3 linked regions of the Caenorhabditis elegans genome follow. The protein of the gene in region 2 purifies or fractionates together with the protein of the main gene of each other region. This does not show direct contact. Each region holds a gene or a part of one and is shown on either strand. Other genes may lie near its edges. The genes, in order: F29B9.5, prcc-1 and igcm-4.

Region 1 (6,795 bases), 8.4 Mb from region 2:
CTTTTCGAAAAATTTTAGAAAAAATTTTAATAACTGTCAAAAAGTGGCAAATACTCAGTTTTTGCCATTCCTAATTTTGGAAGTCGAGCAAAAAATTGTTTTTTTTTCCCTACATTTTTACATTGTAATTTGTTTTAATTTTTGTACTAAAACATTGTAGGGGTCGGAACATGCGACATTGCTTTGGATTTTCTCAAAAGCTCATTTTTTCAAAATTTTGGCACTTTGACAAAACTTTGACCGGAAATTATGAAAAATCTAATATTTTTTGGAGGGTTTTATTATGCTATTCGGTTGTTTTCAATCATTATAAGTGCATTTAGATAAAATTCCCACTGGCGCTACTCCACCTTTATTTTGAAACTAGCTAACTTAAGATGTATCGTGAAAATTTTGAATGGGAGAATAATTTTCAGAGAATTTTAAAAATTTATTTGCCTTCTGAAAAATCTTTCAAAACACCTCATTCATAACCTACTTCAATTATTTTTCTATTGATTAGCAAAGTTTGGCCAGACCAGTAGTTTTTTGAACGGTTTTTGAATAACAAGTTGAACTGTCGTCGCCCCTTGTTCTGACTTCAAGTACCTGTAACTTTTCTCAATTGAAAAAAAAGTTAATAAAATCTATGCCTTTTGCGCTTGTTTTTCAAAAACTTGTCACCTGTTTTCCAAAGGTTTCCATAGCGACCCTGCTTTCTAAAAGTTCTATGCTCCGATAACCTCATTATTTTTTGACAAACCTATATTTTTTTCAATCTTATTTTTCCCTACGACTTGATCAGCTTAATTCCTAACCAATACAATTTCAGAATGTCAGAAGAGACACTCGATTTCAGTGGGTCGATGCCTGAGGAGGTGCAAACTCTTCTCACAAATTCGGAGATGGATCCAGGACTTTTGTCGAATGAGACAGCAACCACGATGATCACAGATGTGATTAGTACAACCACAACCACATTGGGTAAGTTTTAGATTACCTAGTTTTGCCGACGCTGTGTTTTTCTTAACGGAAAATAGTCCTCTGTACGAGCTCGATGCATCGAATTTGACGTGCAAGTTTTATACCAACAGTATTGTTGACCGCGTTATTCAAGAACTGGAAGCCAGAAACTTTCAACAAAGTTTTTTCTAACTATTCAATTTTCAGCCCCCGTCCTTATCGGCTACCAACCTAACCCATTCCGCATTGGACTCCTCGCCTTCAAATGCCTGCTCATTATCCTAATCTTCACTTTATCCTGTACGATTCGTAAGGACTTCTTCAAGTTCTTCGTTCTCTTCCTTATCATCCCACTGTTTATCGAAGCTGGATTTGATATCTTCACCGAGATTCACGCCAGTACAGCGATCTTTGGGGCTCAGTGAGTTTGAGAAGCATTTCTTTGAACATATTCATTATTATTCAACTAGTTTTCAGACAGTTTGACTGGCAATACCTAAACCTTTCACCACGAGCGAACGACACTGTGACTGATTGGCAGAAGTGAGCTAATTTTAGATTTTACATTTGTCATACAACCAGTTTTCTATTTTTTAGGTATGCCGTCGACGGGTTCGGAGAGATCCTTCAAAAGTACACAACTTACCAGGTGTACACGTAAGATCGTTGAGTAGATCTAAAAGATTTTAATGACATAGATTCCAGGAAGGATCAACTCTTCTCGATCGTATCCTATGTCGCCGGTGATTTTATCTTCTGGAGTCTGCTCTTTTCGACTTACACGGTCTTTTTCTTCGCTCACAAGGCGATTGCACGTCCAGAGCAGATCACTTACGAGCCGATTGGGTAGGTTTGTTTTGCTAGGAAAGCTTCCACGATGTACAGGCGCTTAGGCATGCCTAGGCAGTCGCAATTTTTACCAGTTTTCTGGAGCACATCCCAGCTTGCTGGTGTGCTTCTCCATCTTTCTGGCACACTTCTCCTCCACTCAAAAGCAGTCAAACTTCTTTATAACGCACTTAATCCCCTTTTCTTACAAATAAAAAAAACAATTTAAAAAAAAACAATTTTCAGCAGTGTCTTCTTCAAGGCTCAAATCACTCCGGTAATCTTTACCGCCTTTGACACTCTCATCTCGATCTACCAAATTCCACAATGGGCTTATCTCAGCATCATTTCCAGCATCAGACTCACTGCGTGTATTGTCTCCTTCGGCATCGTCACCCAGATGTTCGCTGTGAGTTTCAGATGTCTTTCAGTACTAGAAGCATAGAATTGATTTCAGAGTCTCTTCTTATTCTGCAGAAGAAAGGACGAGGTGACGAAGACTTCTCCATATGAGCACGTGAGAAACAGCAAACTCCGTTTGTTCTTGTTCCTATTATTCAGTATCTGTGTTCATGTGCTTACGGCTCCTTATCTCAGTAAGTAACAGTTAGCAGACCTAGTGAAACCTTAGATCCTTTCAGTCTGGTCCGGATTGACCATCGCTTTTGACGTCGGTCAGCTTCTCGGCTTCAACTGGTACCTCCCAATGCACTTTGCTTCCGAGATGTTCCCACTTCATCTGACCTTCTTCTTGCTCAGACCCTTTATCTTCCTAATTCTGGCTCTGATCCTCCTCAACCCATACCGCCGTCGTTTTGTCAAATTCTTCTTCCCGTGTTGTAGAAGACATTAGGAACGATCTTTTATTTTTTTTCTGTAATTATTGCTTCCAACTCTTCTTTTTTGCGCCATAATTCTAAACCCCTGTGCCATTGGGCGCCCCCTCAGAAGCCCGGTGCTCCTTCGTTTTTTCTTTGTTTTGTTTTTTTTCAAATCGGAAATATCGCTCTCTCAGAAATTGTGATAAATAGTACACGTTTTACACGTTCCATATGTGCCTTGCCTTACAATTAAAAAATGAATAAATTTTTTTCAAATTTAAATCATTCTTATTTTTACGATGAGTTCGAAAAGTGGTGTTATAGAGTTTCCGGAAGACAAGTGAGTTTTTAATTTTTATTTATAAATTTAAATTTTTGACTCTTTGAAGCAAATTTGTGCATACAAATATGGCTGATTACACTACGGAATTGCTTGATGGTAGTGAGTCAACTACAAAGAGTACAGCAACAGACGAACCACCTAATCAATTGTTTTTGTCATCGTTGCTTTTCTTGAGCTCTGCGATTTGTTCTCTGTGAGCTCACTAGCTATTTTCTACAATTAAACAATAATGGAAAACCAAAATAAAATTTTATTCCAGATTCGCAGCTTCAATTCTAGTTCGTAGTTTTCCATTTTTCGGTTCTACTCTCTCTTTGGTGATCATTCTAGTAACTAGGTTGGCTTTGTTCATCAAGAAAAATAGATCTAATTGGAACATTTTCTAGAGAATGGAATAGGATATACGGTGGACTTTTGAGTCCAAATCTGAAAGCAACAATCAACTATTCGACCGTTATGAGAGATCACAGGTACATCTGAATTCTAGAAAATCACCTATTGTATATATATCCTATATATAGGCATATATTTTGACACTTAAAATAATTAAATTTCCAACTTTCTAATTCAGAGAATACATTCCGTTATACGACATGGACTGGTTGTTCGGAGGAAGATACAAGCCGTACTATTATGGATGCACGGGACCTTCGAACAATCCGGACATGGAGAGAACGCCTGATGAGTGAGAAAAAAGTTTTTTATTTTTTGAAAACGTTATCATTTTTGCAGCCCCGGAAGTCGTTCGCCGACGAAAGAGCGCAAGGAAGGAGAGGTTTTGAAGAAGGATGACTGACTGGGCACTCTCATTCTCACACATTTTGCCGCGAATAAATATTATTTGAATTTCGCGCCCTTCGAATTTATAATTTTCTTGAATATTCTTTTGTGTGCGCGCGAAAACTGCGAACCGTTTTGTAATTTTCTGTTGCATTCTGTCGAAATTAGTTTTCGTGTGCGACACCATTGCGAAATCGCGCGCCGCACTATGCAATTTATTGATCGATAATACGGGCGGTGCTCGCCCCCCTTTTCGTTTTTTGGCGCGATATCCTATTTTTGAACTTTTTCGAGAAATTTCTCTTTCTTATCGATCGGATTTCTGTTTGAAAAATCTAAAATAGTTCTGACAAGTGTCACGAACACGCTGTTTCGTTTGTTTACCTCTCTCTTCTTTTCTCGTTGTGCCTAAAACTTCACTGTCCACTTCTCTTTTACAAATTTGATATTTTTCAGTGTAACCGAACAAAAATGTCGGGAATTGCTGCAGGACGCCTCGCGGAAGAAAGGAAACACTGGCGAAAGGTGAGAATTTTATCATTACATGGCAAGTCGGGGCGATTTGTATTACAAAACCGCTTTAAATCGGTTAAATTCTAAAAATTATCGAAAAATAGTTTGTTTTCATGCCCAAAACTCAACATTTTCAGGATCATCCATTCGGATTCATTGCCAAACCAGTCAAGAACGCCGACGGAACATTGAACCTCTTCAATTGGGAATGTGCAATCCCAGGGAGAAAGGATACGATTTGGGAAGGCGGATTATACAGAGTATGTGAAGCTAGAATTCGGAAATTATCATTTTTCGTTAATTTATTGAGCTATAATATTCGTGAACTGTTTCTCTCAAAAACTGCTATTTGGAATACAACGATATTTATAAATCTAATTCAATTTTCTTTCAGATTCGGATGCTCTTCAAGGACGATTTCCCGTCAACGCCACCAAAGTGCAAGTTCGAGCCACCACTCTTCCATCCAAATGTGTACCCATCAGGTTATTATTGCAGTCCAATAGTTATAATTAATTAATTGAATTCAGGTACCGTGTGCTTATCTCTTCTGGATGAAAACAAGGATTGGAAGCCGTCAATCTCAATCAAGCAACTTCTCATTGGAATTCAAGATTTGCTGAACCATCCAAATATTGAAGATCCAGCTCAGGCTGAAGCCTATCAGATCTACTGTCAGAATAGGTGAGTTTTTTTTATCTGAATATTATAAAAAAAATACACAAATGAATTTATTACAGGGCTGAATATGAGAAGCGAGTGAAGAAGGAAGCTGTGAAGTATGCTGCCGAACTCGTCCAGAAGCAAATGCTCGAGTAGATGCTTGCTTCGTGGTAGTCGTCTATTCTATTCTCCTTTTTCCTCCCATCCTCATTTCATTTAGTTAACTATTTCTGTATGCGGCAACGATTGTTGACACAACTCGAAATTCGAGCACCGAAGCAACTTTTCTGATATCTTTTATTTCAATCTAACCAAAAGCTTTGTCGTGCCTGGTTTTTCATTTCGTGGTTGATGAAATTCGAGAGCTAGAACATTTCGATGACTTTTTCCAAATTTCGTGTGCACGCAAACCCAATCATTTTCCACTGGTCCATGGGCTGAGTAGTCTTTATTCTTTCAAAAGACTATTCCTCATCATTCTTACTCATTTTGATCTTCATCTTTCTTTTTATCCCGTTCTGTTTTCCATCTCTTTTCTCTTCCCCCCAATTCTCTTAAAATCAGGAGCACAATTTAATTGTTGACAAATCCCGTGTATTCCAATTTTCTAAATGGACTTGATTATATTTTTTTTCCCTCAACTTATTTGTATTTTGCAACTCAACCATGAACTGTTCATGTCAGATTCTCCAACAATGTCCGAATTCATGAAAGGTGTGATGCTTCTGAAGCAAGACTTGACTGAAGTTCCTGCCGAAGAAGCTCTGAAGGGCAAGGTGGCGAAATATTAGTGTGTAGTGAAAGATTTTAGAATATGACATTTAGGTTGTTGCTCTTTATTTTTCCGCGGGATGGTGTCCACCGTGTAAGCAGTTCACTCCGAAGCTAGTTGTGAGTGCTGAATCTAGATTTTCCGATTTTCCAATGAGTTTCCACACCCTTCAGCGCTTCTACCATCATCTGAAGAAGGCTGGAAAGCCCATCGAAGTGGTTTTCTTCTCTCGTGATAGATCAAAGGCTGATCTTGAAGAGAACTTCACCGAGAAGCACGGCGATTGGCTCTGCGTCAAGTATGGAGACGACATTTTGACGTGAGATTTATCATTTTTAATTTCAGAGTCTCAAAAATAAATCATAATTTTCAGACGATATCAATCAAAGTTCGAGATCAAGACGATCCCAGTGCTCCGAGTGATCAACGCAGCCGGCAAGATGGTCGTTGTGGATGGGAAGTCGGAGGTCGTCGACAAGGGAAAAGCCGACCCACAGGGACTCTTCGCTGCGTGGGAGGCAGCATGCAACAAGTGAAAATGTATATAATTATTTTCCATTTATTTAAACATTTATCTAGTAATTTTTTAAATAGATTTTTCCTACTAATAAATAATTAATTATCACGTAAATATTTATATTTTAATAGTTTTTCTCTAGGTTTGCCCGCCCTAGATTGTACCTGCCACGTCAACTGGATCAGAGCTCTGGTGAGATAAAAATGAATAAGTTTCGGCATTTCTATTTTAATAGACGACATGTTGTCGTTTGCCACAGAGTTTTTGGACGATATGAAGGTTTTTTTTAATGAAATGTATTGTTTCAAAAAAAAAATCAATGTTTTTTTCAGAGACAACTAATGTCATTAGGGCGAGATAGATACTCATTACCGCGTACTTATAAACGGGTTTCACATGCGAAGGACAAAGCGAGACCGGAGCTGAGAAAGTTCGGATGGGAGACTCTGGGATACTCGGAAAGCTTTAATCTGCCTCCATTTAGGGATAGTATTCAAAGGTTTTTTTTAGAGCTTCAGATTTCAAAATCGAGGAATTTAAATTTAAAATTTCAGAGTTGATGGGAATAATCTTACCGTGGAGGAGTTCCGCCGAGATTTCGAAAGACCGAGAATCC
Region 2 (7,405 bases):
ACAAAAAATGCGGGATTTTTTTGTCCAAAAAAATGTGACGTCAGCACGTTCTTAACCATGCAAAATCAATTGAGAACTTTGCGTCTTTTCTCCCGCATTTTTTGTAGATCAACGTAGATCAAGCCGAAATGAGACACTCTGACACCACGTGCACACCAGAGAACGCATAATAGCAGAACAAATTTCAGACTGTCATCCACCCGAATCGGCGAAGTACTGCTTTCTCCTACTTCGTACTGGTATCCCATTTGTTTGGCGACGCTTCTGGTCCGTATCTCATCGGGTTAATCTCCGACGCAATCCGCCACGGATCCACATATCCTAAAGATCAATATCATTCATTGGTAAGTGCCACGTATTGCTGCGTGGCACTGCTTTTGCTCTCTGCCGGACTGTACTTTGTGTCCTCACTCACGCTGGTCTCGGATCGGAAGAAGTTCCGAGCGGAAATGGGTAAGTGCTCGTTGTTCTTGTATGGTGTCGGGGAAACGTATATTTTAGTCAGCTATTATTGGAATTATTTCAGGTCTCGATGATCTTCAATCCAAGCCGATTCGAACATCAACTGACAGTTTGGAACGGATTGGAATTAACGACGACGTTGCGTCGTCCCGACTTTAATTCCTCCTTGATTTCATTGCTTTAATGTCCATAATTTGGGTTTATGTATTTTTAGAACAACGGGTTTTTTGTCGTTTTTGTGAAGATTTTTGTAAACTGCTAATTTTTATTGTATAAATAAAAACTCTTTTAAATAAAAAAAAATGTTTCGGAATAAATTAGAAGACAAGACGTGCCGAACGAAGTGGACAGCTACAGTAGGCTGCATCAGGTCCTGGGATTCCAGGTGGTCCTTCAGGTCCTGGCTCCCCTTCGTCTCCCCGCTCTCCATCCAATCCTGCTGCTCCAGGTGGTCCCTCTTCCCCTTCTGGCCCAGGAATTCCTGGCTCTCCATCCTTGCCTGGGAGTCCTTCAGCTCCTGCAACACCCGGTGCCCCTGGTGCTCCTGGCATTCCTATCTCTCTGATTCCACTGGCGCCTGGTCTTCCATCGACACCTGGCTCCCCGTCTTCTCCTTGATCTCCAGCATCTCCAGGTTCTCCCTCGACACCTGGTGGTCCATCATGTCCAACTTCAAAGTTGTCAACTCCCGGTGGTCCTGGTGGTCCCTGCTCTCCTGGCTCTCCGTCTGGACCTGGAGGTCCTGGCTCTCCGACTGGGCAGCGAATGCATGGGGGTCTTTGATAGATGAGGGATTGATCAAAGAGTGGAAAGTCTGGTCCGGGTTGTCCTGCGTCTCCATTCCATCCGTCATCTCCAGGGGCTCCTGGCTCTCCTGGTGGTCCTGCAGGTCCGGGTGGGCAGTTATTGACCTTATTCATGCATCCACACTTTGATTCTCCACTTCTCTTTTGTCTTACGACGGAGCGATTGATTTCGATCATATCATCCCAGGCTTCAGTTGCGAACTTCTGAAAAATTAGGCCAGATTGATGAAAAAAATTGCCGCGTCGTGAGCCGTGAGTCGTGAGCAATTATTTCAAAAAAAAAAAACTTTGATAATATTTTTCGAATCAATGTTATCTTTAACTATACTATTGCAGTTTCAGAGACTTTAATGTTTTTCCACAAGGAACACTTGGTATTCCGCATAGTTTCTTATTATCCCACACGAGAAATTTTGTGCATTTTGAGCTGAAACTACGGTCACCGGTCTCGACACGAAAAACTTTTGTTAAATAAAAAAGGTGTGCGCCTTTAAAGAGTACTGTGTTTTCGTTGCTACGTAATTTGTATCTGGTTTTTCACAGTTTTTCTCATGAATTTACGTGTTTTTATTGTTATATTTGCCAAAAAACTGTGAAAAAATCGATAATTTTTGCTCTTGCAGAACTTTCATCGATTGTTTTAAAAATAGTTATTTGTTAAAAATTATATACAAACACGCGGAAAATCGATTAAAATTCTGCAACAGCACAAGTTTGAAACTACAGTAACCTTTAAAGGCGCACGATTTTTCTTGGATTTAACGAAAAATTGTCGTGTTTTTTACAGAAAAAACTCACATTGAACTCTGCCACGTCATCAAGTGCCGTGGAATAAAAAGTCCGAAAATCTGCGAAAATGAGCAGCCCCGCTGTAATATACCCGACGACGAGTATCGACGAAACCGAGACGGCTGCGCAAATGAAGTTGTTCGACATTTCAGACAATCTCTGCCTGTCCTCCTTGCCTTCCAATCGGCCTTATGTACTCTGCCGGCTAATGCCCGTTTAACGAGCGATCGCGCAATTTTCTCATCATTATAACGTGCTTATACTTTCAAAACGAATGAATTCATTTCGTGTTTATATGGGTGTTTATCATCAAAACAACACACAAATACAAGGGAGAGAGAAAACTGAATGATTAATGAGACATTTCGAAATGATATTAGAATCCGTACTTTTGTCGCGCCATTCGCTTCGATTGCTTCTGATCGGCCCATTGATCTTTGAGCTGCTCCTCGCGGGATACTGCCTGAAATTAAGTGAATTATGTGATTTCTAGCACAAGCTCTTAAAAAGTGTTGATCTACGCAGATTTCATACTCCACGAGGACAACTTTGCACTTTTGTTTGGCTAAAATCGGGTTTTTCGATTTTTTTAAAATAAATTGTTAATTTTGAAAAAAAAACTGTATTTTTGTAATTGAAATCAATTGATTTTGCATTTTCGGTGAATTTATATTTTTCTCGTATTTTTCCGTAAAATTATTGTTTCCGATTTGTCGGTTTTCGAAAAAATTGAAAATTTTCGTTTTTTTTTAAATCTTCAATTTTTTGAAGACCGAATATTCCATCAAGAAATTCAGCCAAAAAATGAGAAATAAGTTTTAAAAAATTGACTTTTCCATTCTTTCGCGATTTTTTTTTTGGGTTTTTGATGCAAGTAAAAGCCTGAAAATCTATAAAATCTGGAATATCTCTTACCAAGCTGGCCAAATACGTAATTTGATGCTTTCTTCTCGACATTTGTCCTTGAGTTTGAACTTGTGGCAATGGAGCAGAAGTTGCTTCAACAAATGCGCGATGTCCAAGATTCTTGATAATATTTGTCTTAACATCCGGTCCGAGAGCATCATCCACATTCACATCGACAATTGAATTGGCCATTTCGTTGATCGAACGACGTTCTTCTTGTCCAATATCATGAGAGAATCGCATCAAAAGCTTATGAGCTTGCTCGTCATTGATCTTCCGATGAAGCCAGGCATTTGAAGCAGATGGACCTTCTTGAACATCTTCTTCTTCTTCTGGCATTTCATACATTTGTCGAGGATCCATTCCTTCATCTGGACGGGATGGCCCAACTACATCCATGCTGCTGTTCATTGTCATATATGGAATTTCTGATGGAATTTCTGATTCTTTTCTAGTTGGAGCAGATGAGAAACCGAAGAAATCGGTTGGACCGTCATCATCGTCATCACTGTCGTCTGGCAGTTTTGGAGCTGGAGCCGGCTTGAAAACTGGAGCAGCAGCAGGTGTAGCCTGGAAGAGAAAGAGTTTTAAAATTAAAGTTTTAAATTAAATAAAAATTCAGTGAAGAAATCTGGAAATTTTATCCTGATTTTTAATATTTATGGGGACAAAAATCGAACAAAAATTCCCCGGTTTTATATTTTAGCTTGAAACAGCGAATTTTCGCGCCAGAGACGCCGTGTGTCGATTTACGAGATTTGTGTATATTTACAAGATTTTCAATCTTTATCGGATGCTGATTTCTGTTTTTCAACGAGTTTTCTTTATTTCCGTCGGTTTTTGACAAAATGTTTTGAGAAAATGTGTTTATTAAGGCCAATTAAACATTATATTATCAAAAAACCAAGTAAATTTCCAATGCTTAGGTCACAACTCAGCGGAAAATCCAAATATATGCTTTTCCTGACTGAAAATCGAATATTTAGTTAGTTTTTTGATATTATAATGTTTAATTAACCTCAAAAAAAAACACATTTTCAAAAAACGTTTCGGCAAAAACTGACGAAAATTGAGAAAACCGGAAATCAGCATCCGATTAAGATTGAAAATCTCGTAAATATACACACATTTCGTAAATCGACACATGACGTCTCTGGTGTGAAAATTCGGAAATCTCATGGGGACGCAAATGAAAATCGGCGATTTCAAGCTGAAATAAGAAATTAGGGAAATTTTTTTACTTAGTTATTCGAAATCAGAAGTATATTTTCTCAGAATCCGCACTCGACTTTCAATTTTTACCTTTTTAGAAACTGAATGTGGAACCATGGACTTATCGAATACATTTGCACCATCTGAACGATTATCTCTTCCTTTTGGAGCTGGAAGGTTTGACAAAAAACTGTTTCCAAGCTTCGGCTTAACTGTAGCAACAGCAGCACCTTCATTATCACTGTCATCGCTGGAATTTTCGCCAGTAATTCCTGCGAGAGCTCCGAACGCCGAAATTATAACTTTTCCTTTTGCTTTTTGAATTCCACCACCAATTTTCGGAATTTTTTCAACTTTCATCGCTTTTTTCGCCAATTTTTTCTCCTTTTTTCTCTCTTCTTTTTGTGCTTTTTTCAGAGCTTTTTTCTCCAGCTTTCTCCTTGCTTTCTCGGCCAATTTAACCTCCCATTCTTTCGGTTTTACTAATTCTTCGAGAACATCTTCTTTGTTCATGTTTGGTGAGCTTGATTTTTCTGTATTGTCAAAAAATGCTTCATCATCGACGAGTTGTTGATTTTGTGGAGCGAGTGAATTCTGAAATTTTGGAAAATTCGAAAATGTTTTCAAACTGAATAAAGAATAATTTGCTTACTTTTTGTTGTGTTTCCATTTCTTCATCACTTTCTGATTCACTTCCTGCGTAATCCACAAGGCCCATTTTGAGAAGAATTCTTCGAAGAAACGAATAATTTCAGACGAAATAAACAATACGAATATTGATTTCTTTATTCGAGAGGACTACACACAATAAGAAAGCAACAGCGCTCCAACGTACACCGCGCGAAAAACACAATTTTTCAAACAGCGATGGAGGGAAATTTCTTGAGTCCTATTTTGTTTCTTGTTCATTTGTTCCTTGTTTCATTTGCTTTTCTGTTCTCACTATTCAATAAAAATAATAATTTCAGTAAAATGTCAGCCAAAAATAAAGAGCTCGCCGAAGAGGACGTGCTCAACATGACATGCGACAAGCTTCGCAAGGAGTTAAAGAAGAAAAGGGCTTCGACTGCGGGAAAGAAATCGGAACTTCAATCGCGTCTTTTGGAGGTTTGAACTCAGTCGAAACAATGTGATTAATTTAACTTTTTCAGTTTCTCGCTGGCCAAAATAATGCCGGAAACGGGGAGGCAATCAGGGAAGAGCCGGAAGCCGAGGCTATGGACACCGACGAAGCACCTGCCAATCGCACATTCACAGTTGAAGAGGAAGAAGAAACTGAGAATACTACTGGCAGATTTGTTCGTAAGTTATATTCCATTTAGTTGAAATTTAAACAGCTTTATTACAGACGAGAATACTCCGACAAATGCGGTTGCTGTCGTTTTGGATGATGACTTGAGAAACCGTCTCTGTGGCAGTTTGGGAATCGATCTGCAAAGCTTCGAGGTGAAGTCACGCCCGAGAGTTCATCGTCTTTCGACAAGACTGTCTCTCCGCGCTAGTTCGTCGACTCCTCAAACATCTGAGCGACCAGGAATGCCGATCGAGAACAGAGGAATTACGCCAGTTCGTCAGCGTGCTCCATCCAGTGGAAGAGACAGATTCGCAATGATTCATGCAAGAGAGATGGAAAAAGAAGAAACACTCGGAGAGCGTCAAGAACGATTGAAGAAACGACACGAATTCATGACCGGCGACGTCCCAGAAGCTATCAGGAGACTTGCTACCCCGAAAAGTGTGCCAAGACGTGACCCAGTTGATAGATCAACTACAAGATCTGCTGCGCGCAATTGGCAAGTTCAGGATCCTGAGAAAATGTCCTTCCAATTCGGGGATAAATCTGCTGATGATTTTCCCGCTCTTGTCAGCTCACGAGCTGGCTGCTCATCGTCATCTGCTGCCACCACCTCTACCAAAAAGACAAAGTCCGTTGCAAGATCTCATGTGGACGTGAAGAAGCTCACCAAGTCACAAATCCCGAAACCATGCCGTTTAACTTCTCGAAAAATCATTCCTGCAACTGTCCCAGAAGATGATACATTCACCGAGTACATTTCCACGCCAAAAGGAACCACTCCAACTAGAGGTAACTATTCATATTTATCTTTTTTTCGCTAATTCATAGCAATTTTTAGTTCCACGACGTGCTGGTTACACACCACACTCTACGAGAAAAGTGTTCGTCGACACGACTCAATTGACGGATCGCGAGTTCACTTTGGCACTGGAGGAAGGATTAATCCCCGGAAGAGCTGCCACGAACCTCGAGAAACAACAAGTGGAGAACAAGAAGCGCCGTGACGACATTATCGCACTCAAGCGTAAAATGAATATCAAGTAGATATCTCAATTATTTTCTTATTTATCTTCACTCACTCGTCTCACTAGGCTAAACCTGTAAAATATTTCGTTGTTGACTTGTCGAGTTTCTGAAAATGAATTCTTTTAATTTATTACAATTCTCTTTATTTATTTTCTATTTATTTATTCCTCTATTCAATTGTTTGCGACAATTGTGATATCTTTGAATATGTCTTTTAATTTTTTTAGCAAGAAATATACGGTGGATCCGGATTCCCGAAGCGCAATTCGCGGCACGGTTTAATTTTTTAATTTACCATAAAAGCGCGTGCCGCGGAATTACTTTTCGGGTTCCACCTTCTATTTCTCGCGCTTATTTTGGACTTTAATTACTCTGACAATATAATATTAATCTTTTCTAGTGCAAAAATGGCGTTGTGGGTGGACAAATATCGACCAAAGGACTTGTTGGGAAAGGATGGCGTTGATTATCACATCGAGCAGGCCAATCATTTGAAGTTTCTCTCCGCAGACTGTATGCCGCATCTCTTGTTCTGTGGTCCCAGTGGAGCTGGAAAAAAGACACGGATCAAGTGTCTGTTGAGGTTTAATTATTGGTAAATTCAGTAAATAAAATAATATTTTTCAGAGAGCTTTACGGTGTTGGAGTCGAGAAAACGCAGCTCATCATGAAGTCGTTCACTAGTCCGTCGAATAAAAAACTTGAAATACAGACTGTCTCGAGCAATTATCACATCGAAATGACGCCGTCTGATGTTGGAATCTATGATCGAGTTGTTGTGCAGGATCTCGTTAAAGAAATGGCACAAACGTCTCAAATCGAATCAACTTCTCAAAGATCGTTCAAAGTTGTCGTTCTTTGTGAAGCGGACTCACTGACTCGTGATGCTCAACACGGACTTCGTCGA
Region 3 (7,405 bases), on a different chromosome or scaffold from region 2:
ATTACAATTATTTGACACTGCCGGTCTGCCCTTTAAGACTATCCAATATCGTTTCTTTGTCTTGTCTTGTGTCAGACGGCAGGTGATGTTCATGATTTGACGTGTACCGTATATTGTGTTGCATTTTCAATTACTCTCCTCACCGCATAGTAGGATGCCAGCAAAAATGTATACACAAAAAGTTTTTGGAAATAGTTGCCCAGCACAATATTATATATGCTTGAGGGCATTTCAATTCAAAAATAATGTATATGCATGAATGGATATTAACACTACTAAACCTACATGTGGTGTAGGAAACGAAACGAATTCACCCTTACGAAATATCTATGTTTATCCCACTTATTTGTTTGGATTGTATTTTAGAGCGTATGTGTGTGTGTGTGTGTGTGTGTGTGTGTGTGTGTGTGTGTGTGTGTGTGTGTGTGTGTGTGTGTGTGTGTGTGTGGGATATATCGAGCAATGGCGTTGAGCTCTCTCTTGAAAATGTGCAATGGACACGTGAATGGTAAACATTAGTAAAAGGGAACACAATGCAGCTGCTCGCGCACGCGGGGATCTAAAAGTAATGAAAAGGCACCTAATTGCCAGGAAAGCTGCCGTAATTTGAGCCATGAACAACTCTAGCACTCCATGGAAATTTATTCAAGATTTGAAAATTGAGACTGCAATTAGTAGGACGTTGGAACGGAATTCTAATGAAGATCCCTTCCGGGAAATGACCGGAAACACCAAGCCCCTCTGTTTCTTCTTTTTCTTCTATTCTTAGAGTGTTGGAAAATTGAGAAGAATCGGTGGGCACTAATCGGATCGAGAAGAAATCCTGTCTAGATATGGAAAATTTTGCCGGTAAAGATGAAAAATTTTACCTACTACGGTATTTGTGTATAACAGATTTTGAATTTTTAGGGAAATGTCTTTAAAACACCACAATTTCAAGATATCATATTAAAACAATTTTTTAAAAATTCTAACTTTTATATGATTTTTTGAAAACAGGAAAAATCTCTTTTATGCCACTTTTTTGGAAGTCGTCGATCAAAATTTTTTTTTCAATTTTTATAAACTACCTATGTTTCAAATACTAATATTCAGACAATGTAGGGGTGACAGTGCTATAGTTTTCTTTTTCAAAATGTAGCAATAACTCAAGTAATTGCCATTTTTGACTGTCAATAAAAAAATTTCGAAAATGGTTAAAAAGTTTTACTATGATACTCGGTCGTTTTGGCCCCATAAGAGTGGTTTTTAACCATTTCCTTATTGGCGTTATTCTACCTTTAAAAAATAATATTTGAACCCCTCAAGAGAAAAATGGGGCTTTGCGGCAATTTTTTGAATTCAAAATTGGTACAAAAAATTGAAAAAAATTTGTTTTATCTGAAAATAATATTCATATTTGTTGGAAAAAGTTGTAAAAGATTTCAAATAGTGCCTGAACTGTGCCGCTTGCCAAAAAACTTTTAATGGCACTTTTTCGGCAACAGGAAATTTTCAGGCACTCTCTGAAGTATTCCAAAATTTTTCGACAAACAAATATAATTTTCTGATACATAGATCAAATTTGTCTATACATTTTAATATCAATTTTGAATTTAAAAAAGTTGGATTTTCATATTGAAGTAAGCTATTGTGTACTTTTACCAAAACAAATTGCCGCACAGCCCTGATGTGAATTACGATTAGTTAACCCTAATGAATAAATAAAAGATTTAATTTCAAACTTTTGGACTTTTATACAAAATATCCTATTTGTGTTCTATCTTTGCTGATTTTTAACTAATTCTTTTACGATTAATTCTTTTCTCACACTACTTTCCACAAGCAAATTGCCAATTATCATTAATTTTCGCAAATCTTTTAATAATATTCGTCCCGTCTGCCATCCTCACACGTGCTCCAAAGCCCCGCAAATGCACTTAAACGAACGAATCGTGTGCTCGTTCTTACTTGATTCAAATTTGTAATTAAGTGTCGTCGTTGCGATGAATACAACAGACGGAGAAGAGCGTCTAGTCTTCCATTTCCTTTTGCTGTTGTGCTCGGTGGGCAACAAGAACAATAGGTGAGAAGAGGCTCTCCCCCCCCCCCCCCCCATGCTGGACAGCTGCCAAAGAGCAGTACAATTCTAGGTGAGAGTTGTGGCGCAATGGCAGTCAATGCATTGCGTAATTATGGCTCGTTGGGTTCTTTAGTTTTCTGTTCTGCTAATACGTAATACACTCCAATTACCAATGCCATCTTTTATTATTTCATTTCACTACTCAAATACATATCTTTTGAGTGGCAATATACAAAGTATTGAGTATAACATATGATAGATCATATATCAACAGTAGTATTCCGTTATGCTCTGGCAATCCCCCTCCGGCATCCTTGAGATGTGTTCTACAGTTAGATAATAACGGCGAGGTGAATGACATATCGTATCTCGTCGCATTCGTTATCAAAAATGCGTATCAAATGGTATCTACTTGGGAAACAATGGGCAATGGGAAGAACCGAACGGAAGGTCTAATCTTGTCAACCAATCGGAAATGGGAAGCATATGAATATGAATTATAAATTATAAATTATAAATTATAAATTATGCAATGACAAGAACATGTCTCATTTCGATTCACTTTTACACCCTACCCCGGCCCAAGAAAAGACGGACTCTATCCTTCTTCTTCTTGGGATTCAAAGTGTCAATCAAAAATGCTTGACTTTCGACTCGATTTTCGTTTTGGTTATAGCTTTCGAAACACTAGTTCCAACGACATACGGGACGCTTTTTAGGAATTAGAAATTAGAAATCACAAAGGACCATCGAAAAACAAGCCAAAAACTGTACATATGGCAAATTAGCTCTTGACATTCTGGGGGTCAAGAGCGCACGCGTAATCTACGTTTTCAACATCACTCCACGCTAATTCAATTCAACTATTTCCCGCTCCCCTTACTCACTTCCACGCGCTGCTTCAACGTGCGGTCGAATGATTGCCGAGTTGACCATTGTGATGATTAGCAAAAATACGGCACCCATTTTGAATGAATCTGAAAAAAATTGTTTGAAAAATATGGAGAAAAAATTAGTAAAAGTAAAAATGCTAGAAATTAGTTTATAGAGAAAAAAATATTGCAGGTCAATGAAAATTTAGCATTTTGAAAGAGTCGCTTTAAGTTTTAGTTTACTTTAACACCTTACTAATCGCTTTATCTATTCGATTTACCGAGTCGAAAAGCTGATAAGAAAAGTGTTGAGAATCAAAATATTTGAGTGAAAAAAACAAAGCATAACTATTACTCACCCATTGCAAACTTGAAAATTGCAAATATACTTTAGAAACTAGCAGAAATTTTCAAAAAGTTCATTAAAATCACTTCCGGCGTTCTTCGGTTAATTCGTTAAGAACACGCCGCAAAACACGCAGAATGATTTATAGCCTCGACAACTTGGCGAAATTTTGATTTACGATGTGCGTACATCCGCGGGAGAGTGGGGGGTGGGGCCTAGTGGTGTGGCTAGGGGGAAAGAGAGAGCGTCAGAAGGCGAGAAACGCAGACGACGGTCCGCCCGCACTGACAGTTAATGAAGATGGTCAGCTCATTCGGTAGTCGATGGGAGGAGAGGAAAAATACACGGTGAGTTCCCTACCCATGTATGGCAGATGAACACGGGAGATTTGGATCTCTTGTGAGTGACAGGCGTTGTAGGTTTTCCGGATTAAGGAGATCCCTAGAGAGCAGTTGAAACAGGTGGTTTTTAGTTAGGAAGGTGGACAATGAGGTGTTAATAAAAAAATGTGCCGAATTTAATCTCAATTCGTATTCTACCTCCTGCCAATATTTTAACAGATTTAACAAAATATGCATAGTTTTATATTGGGAATTTCCAGGTGATATTAGAAAAAATTTATACACATTTTAGTTTAAGAAATATTTCGTTTGAAGGTGAAGAAAACTGCTTAGAACTGGTGCCAAAATGTCAAAATATCATAGTGAATTCTTCCAAAAAAAATTTGGAAATTACGATTTTTATACTTTAATTTTTGTTAAATTATTTTTGTTTAAACATTTTCAGTGTCGCGACATTTCTCTGGGTTTACTTAAAATCTCATATTTTTTGAAAACTTGGCACCTTGCCAAAACTTTGACTTTTGAAGTGTTTTATTATGTCATTTGGTGTATTCAGGCAAAATCCTCACTGGCGCTATTCCCTGTTAATGAGCTAGTTAACAATATTAAGGCCAGTGCCAGTGCTGAAGAAGACATATGTTAACAAAACTATAATCCAAATAGACAACTTAAGCCAATATGTAAATACAAATACGACCACTGTGCTTCTGACTATGTAAGCAGGCTCGATACACATGGCAATATTAATAAGAGGAAGTTCATACAGTTGTTTATAGGATAACGCTTCGAGCATACAGGGTGTTTTGCAGAATGCGAAAAATGAAGATATAGATGAAAGTGGCAAGATAATCCGGAAATTCAGTGTGATCATTCAAAAACTCAATGTGCTCAATCATTCACAACTGACAGCTTGAGGTTGTAACATTATTGATGACTTGACTCCTTTTTATTTTTGCGTGTTTTTGCGTGTAGATTATTTAATAGGTGTATTTATATGAATTAATTTATTCTACAAACATTTTGAATTTCTGACCTCAAGTTTCAATTTTCGACTTCCCAGCCTACTCTCTCAACTTGAGAATAATAGGTCAAACAATGCATATTATCGCGCATGACAGGTAGCTGTTAGCTGACACCACACCGTAAACAGAGTATCGAAGAGGTTTGTTCTTCGCTGCTCGAATAACACAAGTGAGCACTCATCCGTCTAGTGATACAACCTGGAGAACACACCTCAAGAACCTACTCCTTCTACGTACTTCAACCAAGGTTTCAAGTGATACTAGATACGCATCGCAACGGGGTCCCCAAGAAAGTGGAATCACATTGCATTCACAGGTATTGTTTTGAGTTGGTAATGCTAGGCCTGCCGAGTTTTCGGTAGGGCTCAAAATCTTAGAAATCGAAAAATAATTGAGGTCTCAATTGTCATAAAAAACTGGAATTTCAATAGCTTGTATGAAATAGTATGAAAACCGGAAAATAAACATTGAATCCCGTTTTTTACAGGGTTTCAGACACTTTTTTGGCTTTTCACAGTTTTTCAGATTTTTGATTTTTCGGGTTTGCGCACAAAACCCAAAAAAAACCGATACTTTGGGGGAAATTTGAACATAAAAGCGCCAAATCTGCGCGAAAAAACGAGTTTCGTATTGAAACTTCTCAAAAAATTCTCTGAACCTTTTTATGGCAAAAAAACTATCCTAATTGATGCTTATGGGTTTTGTTCTCCCCCCCCCCCCACATAATGTTTTTATATCTAAAATTTTATTTTCAAATTTTTAAATAAAAAACGTGAACAAAAGTAAAGAACAAAGCATTCATTTCTACAAATCGTTCCAAAAGGTTCACGTTTTTGTGGTTAATTGAAACTTAGAAAATTGAAACATTTTGGGGGAACGAAATCCTAATTTTCCTAATTTTAGCTAAAATCTCCATTTCGGCCCCTTTTCCAGCAATTCAACAAGCGGAAGTTAACTTTCCTCAAATAACCATTTTTTTTATTGCATATTTTGGTCGTCATCTCATTTTATTTCGTTGAAAAATTACAAAAACTGGCCACTTACCCGCTTGAAATGTACCTTCATCAACGGAATAACGTGAAATAAACAATTAAACTTGAAACAAAAGATGATAATTCAATAAAAGTGGAAAAAACTTTCAGGTTTTAGCTAAAATTAGCCAGTTTTTTTTAAAGAATTTCAAACCGAAAAATAGTATTTTAAAAATTTTAATTATTAAAACAATTGTCATTACTAAATTTTTTTTGTTGAGCAACTTTTGAGTGTTAACGTTCGAAATTTTCCACAGCCTCCTTTAATAGTGGTCTTTGAGCAAAAAGAGGATAGCTCAGTTGGAGCAATTGTTACATGTGTTCTATAAGTTGAGTTGAATAGAAGGCCGTCGAAAGTAAAAACAGGAAATATACATAAGGTGCTAAAAGGGTTGTGCCGCACGAAAACGAAAGACGGCTTCACGCAGCGGTGTCTGTCTTCCCGGACCAACTCTTTATGAATAATGCACTAATTGCATAGTCAGGTGAAGAGCCCGAGAGTGCCATATGGGAAGCGGTTGGATGAAACAACACAACAGATGGACAAAAGATAACAACTAATTATGAATGGAGAGAAAACTAAAACACAGAACAAAATAATCTCATGTGAAAAAGCGTGGAGTACTAGGGTACGACTTCTAACACTGCGAATTGCATCAAATTGAATTTACTGCGAAGAAAATCTAGATGGTGAAACTCTGATATTCTACAGCAAAGATTCAATTTGTGTAATACAAATTTTGGAGAAAACAAATATAATTTTTATTCTTCAATGAGTTGCGAAAAAATTACGAAATTTTGTGAAGTGTTTTGAAACAAGGATTTCAGGATTTTTTTTTCAGGTTTTTATTTCAAATCCCTAACAATTATTGCAAAAAACGCAACAAAACATTTGAAAAACTATTTGAAAAAAGTAGTCCCGTAACAAAGCAAATTAGTGAAACCCAAGGCTAAAACCATTTCAACATGTCTCTATAGTTAGACTCAAGTTGGAGGAATAAAGTGCATAATTTTCAAATTGTCTCAATTTTCTGACATCAAATTAGTTTACTAGAACCTATGCACATATATTTTTTATCGCAAGATAAAACTAGTGTTTACTTGTTTGATTATAATAGTGAGATTTTTTTGAGAAATGGGAATTTTTTAAATATTCAGACAACATTAGATTTTTAAAAATTCGGAAAAAAATTTAGGAAAGGAATATAGCAAAACTGTGCTTAAATGCATGAATTTTCAAAAGAAACTTGTCAAAAAATTTAAAAACAATTTTTATTCGGATCAAGAAAAATGGTCTAATTTTAGCCAAAATTAGTTTTTTTGTTGATATTTTGAACCGCCATAAAAAATGTTAGAAATTGTTTTTTGAATATTTCAATATGAAATTCGTTAATTTTAGCACATTTTTAGACTGTAACGGAGCACTGCTAAACTGAAAAACAATTCCAGTTTTCAGGCACTCTCTCATAATATTCAAAAATGAACAAAAATTAATAAATTTTCATATGCCGCCAGGAGAAAAAATAGTTCGGCACTTTATCGTAAACAAATCGTAGTGAGAACCAACTAGTCCCTTTTCTTCAATTCATTCTCCAACTTGATGAAAGTTAAGAATGCATGCAAGTTTTGACGGAAAAGCTGACGAAAACTAAACTTGTTTTTCGGAAAACCACGTTACGAAAGTGAGCACGTTTTCTAAAATTGGCGATACTTGTCAGGTGAAAAACGAAA

Evidence for each region.
Region 1: the proteins of prcc-1 (region 2) and F29B9.5 fractionate together in Caenorhabditis elegans (co-fractionation; one large-scale study listed by BioGRID). This does not show direct contact.
Region 3: the proteins of prcc-1 (region 2) and igcm-4 fractionate together in Caenorhabditis elegans (co-fractionation; one large-scale study listed by BioGRID). This does not show direct contact.

Annotation. Positions count from the first base shown.
Region 1 is NC_003282.8:4,646,874-4,653,668, forward strand, and holds F29B9.5 (Thioredoxin domain-containing protein), read left to right. Parts: upstream 1-5,541; 5' UTR 5,542-5,585; coding exon 5,586-5,666; intron 5,667-5,715; coding exon 5,716-5,781; intron 5,782-5,835; coding exon 5,836-5,981; intron 5,982-6,035; coding exon 6,036-6,198; 3' UTR 6,199-6,295; downstream 6,296-6,795. Other genes in the region: F29B9.8 (Serpentine Receptor, class T), read left to right, coding at 813-963, 1,150-1,363, 1,420-1,485, 1,540-1,599, 1,648-1,788, 2,017-2,179, 2,228-2,366, 2,412-2,623; F29B9.7 (Pheromone-regulated membrane protein 10), read left to right, coding at 2,891-2,931, 2,981-3,127, 3,194-3,271, 3,321-3,404, 3,506-3,619, 3,667-3,730; ubc-9 (SUMO-conjugating enzyme UBC9), read left to right, coding at 4,186-4,239, 4,365-4,487, 4,622-4,712, 4,758-4,911, 4,968-5,046; psr-1 (JmjC domain-containing protein), read left to right, coding at 6,420-6,458, 6,512-6,678, 6,734-6,795.
Region 2 is NC_003282.8:13,088,864-13,096,268, forward strand, and holds prcc-1 (Proline-rich protein PRCC), read right to left. Parts: upstream 4,933-7,405; 5' UTR 4,894-4,932; coding exon 4,828-4,893; intron 4,770-4,827; coding exon 4,266-4,769; intron 3,534-4,265; coding exon 2,973-3,533; intron 2,521-2,972; coding exon 2,434-2,520; 3' UTR 2,324-2,433; downstream 1-2,323. Other genes in the region: spin-2 (Major facilitator superfamily (MFS) profile domain-containing protein), read left to right, coding at 189-453, 527-621; col-132 (Nematode cuticle collagen N-terminal domain-containing protein), read right to left, coding at 780-1,472, 2,067-2,204; C39E9.12 (SAP domain-containing protein), read left to right, coding at 5,148-5,282, 5,327-5,477, 5,524-6,261, 6,311-6,516; rfc-3 (Replication factor C subunit 3), read left to right, coding at 6,906-7,081, 7,126-7,405.
Region 3 is NC_003284.9:2,042,886-2,050,290, forward strand, and holds the start of igcm-4 (receptor protein-tyrosine kinase), read right to left. Parts: upstream 3,476-7,405; 5' UTR 3,298-3,475; coding exon 3,294-3,297; intron 3,268-3,293; exon of another isoform or gene 3,121-3,267; intron 3,040-3,120; coding exon 2,950-3,039; intron 449-2,949; exon of another isoform or gene 370-448; intron 1-369.